Drosophila melanogaster: one gene and its partner. The protein of the gene in region 1 purifies or fractionates together with the protein of each later gene. This does not show direct contact. Each region holds a gene or a part of one and is shown on either strand. Other genes may lie near its edges. The genes, in order: Hnf4 and Sirt1.

Region 1 (3,922 bases):
GATGCGATGCGGTTCATTAAGACCCTTGGCATCTAAAGTTATTTGAAGAACCAATTATTAAACGGTCACTTTTGTAAATAAGTTAAATAACTCACTGGGATCGAAGAAGACTAGGGCCTTGATGCAAGCGAATTCAGTGTCATCGATACCCACATCCTTCATGACCGTCACCAGTTCATCGATGATACGGGCGCCGATCCGGGAGATGTCCAAATTCGGCGACACAAGGGGATCTGGAAAAAGAATGATTGCAAAGGTTATACCAATTTCACTTATAGGTTTTGATAGTATCAAAAACATTACCTGGACAGTGCCTTGTGATCACACAATTGTTGCTCAGCAGGAGAACATCCTTCAAGTGCATCGAACGACGAGACAGGCCGAGGAGCAAATGCTCGCCAGCATGGGCGCGTAGCAGTGCCACCTGGTCATCCAGCTGCAGCTCGTTAAAGGCCGGAATCTGCTTAGCCCATTCCACCAGGGTCAGCAGCTGCTGCTTCATCGACTCGCAGACATCGTTGATGCTCGCGAACTGCTTGTTGGAGAGGTCCTCGTTAATGTTTGGCTCCATGGCAGCGCCTGCCTTCGACTGACGCGACTCATTCTCCGCCTTAACCAAGGAAATCACAGACAGCCCATTGCCCGGATCCGGGTCGTCATTGGAGGTGCGGCGGCAGCTAATGCGATCCCGCTCGTTTTGCACCGCCTCCTTCTTCATGCCCGCCTTGAAGCACTTCCTCAGCCGGCAGTAGCGGCACTGATTCCGTTTGTCCTTGTCCACAACGCAGTTTCGCGCAAATCTGCCAAGAGAAGTTTAAGTTGAGTAACGAATGCGTATAGATAGTCGTAAACTTAGAATTTTCCGCCAGGTCCCGACACGTCCCACCAGGGTTATCGTTATGAATTATACAAATTATTTCTGACTGGAAATTTGGCATTGGGAAAATCTTAATCTCCCTACTAGTCCCGTATAAGGACATATGTGTACCTGCAAGTGTACTGATGATTTTTCCTGACACTCCTCCTGAAGAATCCTTTGCAGCCGTCGCAGCTGGAGGCTCCATAATGTTTGCCCGTCGCCCGATCTCCACAAATGGCGCAGACCGTCGGTGATTGCTGTTGTTGTTGCTGCTGCAATTGCTGCTGACTGCTGTTAGTCCCACTTCCGCTTCCGCTCAAGTTGTTGTTGGGTGAGAACATGCTGTTGTTGTTGTTGCTGCCACTGCTGGCACTTCCGCCTCCTGCGCTGCCCGCATTTCCGTTTCCGTTGCAGAGCGCAAAGTTCTCGCTGCTCTGGTTGCTACTGTTGCTCAGTCCCAGCCCACCGCCATTGGGGCTGAGGGCGAGGCCGATCGGACTGTGGGGCTGCGAGGCAGCCGGATAGGCAGAGGCCAGGGCATCCGCGTGCATTATGTGGCTCTCCGATTCTGCAACGAAAAGCAGGTAAAAGTGTTATTCATAAGATGAGTTGTATGAACAAAATCTTCATTAGAAAAACGTACATATATTCCTGACACAGTCTTAAATGTTACGAGGGCGGCCTTAAACTTTAATATATGTACAGTAAATAAGTGAGCAATATAAACTGTTGAAATACTTCTTAAAGTCATAACCCCACCAGCCCAGTCGAACTAGTTCTACTTCTTTAAAATGGAAAATATTCTAATCTTCAAATGTAAATCGCTTTGTTGTAAAAAGTGTTCCGTCATGGTGAGATCCACAGTTTTGAAGCTGCGGGTGCTGGGCGCACGCACAGTTTTAGAATTTGATCATGCCTACGCAAATTCCTCGCTAAGGTTTTGCAGCAACTGGATATGCCATTTTAAATCCACGGACAATCTTTGCAATCAAAGAGCAATTAAAAACATACACAGTCCGAAATTTCTGCACAGAGTCTAATAGAGAAATAATTTTCTTTATCATATATAATATGAAGTCGATACTAAATAATGTGTATGTGTTCCTTTAAGACTACTATTTTTTCATAAAAAGGTATATATGTACCAATAAAAATTATTTACTGGTATTTTTGTTAGTTTTTCTTTTATTTCGATCGCAGCTGTATAACGTACGATACACAGTGGTCATAGAGTTGGGATTGTGTGAAAACCAGCGAAAAATCGCGCAATAGCAACAAACAGAAACTGCACAAATAACAACAATATTAAAAATAAAAGCAACAACTGACCGTCACTGGATGCAGTTCGGCTGGCGCTGCTGTCGCGCCTGCGTCGACGTCGCCCCGCCTCTGCCTCCTCTGCCGCTGCAACTGCCACCCGCCCACCGCCCACTTTGCCACGCAGCAGAATGTTGCCAACGGCAACGCGATCGCGACTAGAAATCTTAACTCTACCGGACTTGCGCACCATTTTAATGCAACTGATTAATGAAAAAACACACGACTCGAAATTTTTCAGTCGCGGTATCGTATGTTGTTTCTTGGCACCTCTCCTGCTCTCTCTGCGCCACCGCACAGTGGTCTGATTTCAGAAAATTCTACGTTAATAAATATTACTCTCTTTCTATGAAAACAAATAAAAGCTGTTTAATAATGTTCCATAATGCTTTATGTAAGCTTTTTGACATGGATATGAAAATAATATTATTACAAAAAAATACTTTTTAATAAACGAATAAATAATGAATTTCCCCTCTAAATCTTATTAACATTTCTGTTTTGGAAGTTTTATATTCTAACATAGTTGGTTAGGTATTCTGAAGTGCGATCATATCAATATATCACCACGTCACCACGCGTTCTGAAGTTTCTAAATTTAGTTTTAAAAAGCTCGAATTCCCACCGTGCGTTTTGAGTGTGTGCGTTAATCGACGCTTAAATCAATTCAACTGTGTTTGCATATGTCGACCCCTCTCTTTCTTTCCCGCAGAGAGGGAGCGAGACCCCAAAACCAGACTTGGGGCTCTCACCAACACAGAGGCACGCAGCCGCAGAGATAGAAATTCATTTAATGGACAGAAGCAGAAGCAAGAGCAAAAGCAACAACAACAACATCAACGACAACGACATCGGCCAAACGAATAAACAAATAAATAAATAAAATGTGTACAAAAAAGCCGGCTTTAATTTGGACATCGTTATGAGAGACTGTTTGCGTGTGTGAGAAAATCATTTGGGGAGACGGAGAAAGAGAGAAAATAGAAATACTAGTAAAGCGGAAAATAGGCATCGACGGAAAATAGTAGTTACTTTTAATAAACAACAATAAAAGTGCTCGTACAGTCGATTTTAAGGAATACTTGTTTTTGAAAATTGAATAGAATGGAATTATTTAAAATAATTATTTAAAAAAATATTCTTTCAATTACCATTTTAATAGGTGTATAAATACTGTTATTATCTCGAAGCGTTCGCAGTGGGTGGTTCCCACAGATTTTCCACTATTTGCCTTATTAGTTTTCATATGCAGGGAATTCTCTAAAAGGTAATTGATTGGCAAACATTTACAATTTGAATAGACTTTTCATGATTGCACTCCAAACAGCAAATTGTTCACTTTGTTTACAGATTCTCAGACAGTTAATCACGGTACACCGACAATTCCGATATTATACACCTGAAACATATCCTCACCGCTTGAAAATCCAACTCGAAATAAGAGCAGTTGCTCGACCAAGAGAAGTTTAAGTAAAAAATACAACTGCCAAAAGTTCTTATCTCTCTGTTTATGGGTGTGCATTTGTTGTTTTCTTACACTTAATGTTGTTGTTCTACCAGTTGGAGAGGAAAAAGCAAACATACACTGAAACAGCAACGAATAAAAAAGGTAAATAAGAAACCATAATACTCGTTTGCTAACATTTCGCGCATAAAACTGTCTCGCCCCACACTCGCCATCTCTCTCGCCCACCGCAGCCGTTTCGCTCGCACACTCCGCGGGAGGGGGAAACAGGCTGCGGTGTA
Region 2 (3,922 bases), 4.5 Mb from region 1:
CACAGGTCGGACCTTCAGCGAGGAGCCGATCACGATCAGTAGATCGCACACGTCCTTGTCGGTGGCCATGACCGTGTGGTACTCATCCGGCAGTCCTGTTGGCAATATGAAAAGCAAACACAATATGATATATGGTAAATAGCGTTACTTTGTATTTTCAATAGTTTATCTCTTAAATAAACACTTCTTTTGATCGTCGAATTTGAAATTCTTGCATTTATTTTACCAAGGCTATTGATAATATATAATAAATCTGTATAAAAATGGCACCTACCCTCGCCGAAAAAGACGATATCCGGCTTCATGATGCCGTTCTCGACCAGTTGGCGCAGCTCCTCCTCAGTAACGGCCACCGAGGCATCCACGCTCTGCTCCTTATTGGGCTGGCACTGCGGGCACACCGGAATTCGCTGGGCAAATATGTCCGCCCGCAGGGCGTCAGCGTTGCACTTGAAACGACACTTGGTGCACGAGGCCGTTGAAAAGGAGCCGTGACACTCGATTACTCGCTGAATGCCTGCCACCCGCTCGAGGGTGTCGATGTTCTGTGTGTAGTTGCGCAACAGTTTGCCCTTGGTCTCCAGCATTTTGATGAAACGATGGCAGGGTGAGGGCTGAAACTCGCCGGGATATATCTCGCGGGCAAACTTGTAGAACGGTCGTGGATCCCTCTTGAAGTAGTTGATATCAAACATGGCCTGCGGATCGGGCAGATCGGGAAAATCATGGGCCAATCGCGCATATATGCCATTGGTGGACCGGAAGTCCGGAATGCCGCAGGAGACGGATACTCCGGCTCCCGTTAGCACAATGATCTTCTGTGATTTCTTGACCAAACTGATGACATCGTCGAAGGTGTTCACTGAGGCCAGCTTGTTGCGCCGCTTCGGCTCGTTCAACAGGTGGGCCAAATAGTCCCACAGCACGGAGTCGTCGGTGTCGCCCGCCAGGCCGGTGGCGAAATGCGGCATAATGCTGGCAATAACCTGGCGCGGCACACGACCTGTGTAAAATTCTCGTTGCAACCAGCGCAGCTTCCAGTCGGGTTCCACGGATGAGGAGCAATTTGAGCTGGAGTCCTCATCCTCGTTGCTCGTTCCGGTGATTCCCTCCTCGTCGTCCTCCTCCTCCTCCTCATCGTCCTCTTCCTCCTCCTCCTCGTCATCTTCATCCTCGCCCATTGACTTTGTGGGATTTTTGGTTTTATGCTCCAAATTGGCGCCAATCTCTTGTTCTTCCCTGGCAGCCAATGTTTTTGTTTTGATTTCACCATTTGCTTTGCCAGCAAGTTCGCTTGTTGCTGGTTCTGTGGTTGTTGCTGTTGCTTCTGCCTCTGCCTCTGCCTCTGTTGACGTTGAGGCCAGAATTTCCGCGCCAAAATCAAACTTAGTTGGCGGATAGAATTGCGTAGTGTCTGGCACCTGGTTGCCCAGATCTTTAGACCTAATGTGGCCCAGGCGAATTTCCTCGTAATTTTCCATCATTTTTTCCGAACCCAAGCGCGCGCACACGCGCACACACACAGACTCACGGAGAGAAAACTCTCGTAGTTGGTGCTGTTGCTGGCTCTTCTTCTTCTTGCGCGAGTGTTTCCTCGGTCTCTCCGCTTTGCGCTCTCGCCTCGTCCGTTTTCTCCGCTCTTTCGTTGGTACACACAAAAATTTTTACGTCGTCAGCTTCGCACCCATTTGGCTTGATTGAAAAAATTCTCCAGCGATCGTTTGGCCGCGATTTTTTCAACCAACCCGACTTTATTTCACGTATATGCACGAAACTTAAATTTTAAAAAAATTTCGACACCATTTGGTTGCGATTTTTTCGTAATTTTCGAGCGTAGTTTCTGGAAAATTTTCCGATGAAAAAAGCAAGATGGCACACGTAGCTGCGCCTGTGTGTGTATGTGGGCTGGCAGACGTGATTCGGGTGGGACCCTGACACGTCGTGTGGAAAGTGCTAACGCGTTTCTGCATGGAAAGTGCCGCCAGCATGACTCATCACGGTATGTTTTTAGTATTTTTTGGGATTTTTGAGGGTGATTACGTGTTGCTACAGTGGCCACTGCCTTATGTCATATCTAATTTAATCCATTTCTTTAAAAACTGTTTAAAATATATCAATAATTTGTCAAAAAGTTAGTAAAATTAATTTTAAATTATGCTTCGAACTTTAATTTTAGCACTCTTTTACTTATCAAATTTACTCGATATTTAAACAATTAAGTAAAAATAATTTTTTTGTCCAATATTTACACATTTCATAGTAGTATTATAAATTGATGTATTGATAATATGCAGTTCATATGTCCAAAAACTTCCATCAAGCTGTTAAATACAAAAATGTGTAAACAGATTTCCAGAACGTTCCAGCAAGTGTCTACTGTTCCCCAAAAAAGCTGCGATTTTAAGTATTTATTTGGTACTTTCCCCAAAATTATAGGTTTTTGGTAGAACTTGGGCATACTTGTTAGCCAATATGACTTGAAAATATTGTCATAAATACATTGTTAAATAATTTAATAAGTCGTACACTTACAATGTACAAAATATTTTAGTTTGTAGGGGGACTGGGGATGCAATAGGAAATGGACAACCTAAATTTATACGACGTTCTTAAAGTGGCTCCGGATGCAACTGATGAGGAAATAAAAAAGGTATGTAACAGTTCCAATTCGATATGTTGGTAAATAGTTTGTATTCACCTTTTCACCAATAGAACTACCGAAAATTGGCAAAAGAGTTCCATCCAGACAAGAATCCCGATGCGGGCGACAAGTTTAAAGAAATATCCTTCGCCTACGAAGTGCTGTCCGATCCCGAGAAGCGGCGCATCTACGACCGATATGGATTGAAGGGCCTGCAAGAGGGCGCCGAGGGATTCTCTGATGCCTCCGAATTCTTCGCCCAGTGGTTCCCCTTCGATCGAGTCTCGTCCGAAGGTCGGGGCAGGCGCAATGGCAAAGTCGTGGTAAAAGTGGAGCTGACCCTGGAGGAGATCTACGTCGGCGGCATGAAGAAGAAGGTGGAGTACAATCGCCAGAAGCTGTGCTCCAAGTGTAACGGCGATGGCGGTCCCAAGGAAGCGCACGAGAGCTGCGAGACCTGCGGCGGAGCTGGACGAGCGGCCGCATTTACCTTCATGGGTCTCAGCCCCTTCGATACGGTATGTAAGAATTGATTGTAGTTGTAGTGAATGCACACCGCGGACCACACATCCGTGGAGATCCCATATACCACACTTCGGAGCAGATTATTTAAATTATTTTTTTTTGCAGACCTGTCCGACTTGCGATGGCAGGGGCTTCACCATAAGGGACGACAAGAAGTGCAGTCCCTGCCAGGGCAGTGGTTTCGTAGAGCAGAAGATGAAGCGGGACCTGGTTGTGGAGCGAGGAGCACCGCACATGCTAAAAGTTCCCTTCGCAAATGAGGGCCACCAAATGCGAGGCGGCGAATTTGGGGATCTGATTGTAGTCATCTCCCAGATGGAACATCCAATCTTTCAGCGCCGCCATGCCAATCTGTACATGCGAGACCTGGAGATCAACATCACGGAGGCCTTGTGCGGCTACTCGCATTGTTTCAAGCACTTGGATGGACGAAACGTCTGTCTGCGCACGTACCCTGGTGAAGTGTTGCAGCACAACCAGATCAAGATGGTGCGAGGCAGTGGTATGCCTGTTTTTAACAAGGCCACCGACAGTGGAGATCTCTACATGAAGTTTAAGGTTAAGTTTCCGGACAACGACTTTGCCACGGCACCGCAGTTGGCCATGCTGGAGGACTTACTCCCTCCCAGACAGCCGATAGTGATCCCAAAGAACGCCGAGGAAGTGCAAATGACGGACTATAAGCCGCAGCCACGACAGCAGGAAGACGAGGACGGACAGTCGTCTCACTTTGAGGGCGTACAGTGCCAGACGGCT

Evidence for each region.
Region 2: the proteins of Hnf4 (region 1) and Sirt1 purify together in Drosophila melanogaster (affinity purification with western blotting, with the first as the bait; one study listed by BioGRID). This does not show direct contact.

The regions. Positions count from the first base shown.
Region 1 is NT_033779.5:8,688,826-8,692,747, forward strand, and holds the start of Hnf4 (hepatocyte nuclear factor 4), read right to left. Parts: upstream 2,385-3,922; 5' UTR 2,370-2,384; coding exon 2,189-2,369; intron 1,428-2,188; coding exon 989-1,427; intron 801-988; coding exon 304-800; intron 234-303; coding exon 96-233; intron 33-95; coding exon 1-32. UniProt on the Drosophila melanogaster protein: Transcriptionally controlled transcription factor. Important for the differentiation of various specialized cell types that arise from both endoderm and mesoderm. May have a role in early gut formation.
Region 2 is NT_033779.5:13,163,553-13,167,474, reverse strand, and holds the start of Sirt1 (sirtuin 1), read right to left. Parts: upstream 1,912-3,922; 5' UTR 1,485-1,911; coding exon 275-1,484; intron 96-274; coding exon 1-95. Other genes in the region: DnaJ-H (DnaJ homolog), read left to right, coding at 2,582-2,650, 2,713-3,159, 3,272-3,922. UniProt on the Drosophila melanogaster protein: NAD-dependent histone deacetylase involved in heterochromatic silencing. Mildly suppresses the heterochromatin-mediated silencing phenomenon known as position-effect variegation (PEV). Required for epigenetic silencing of the polycomb group proteins.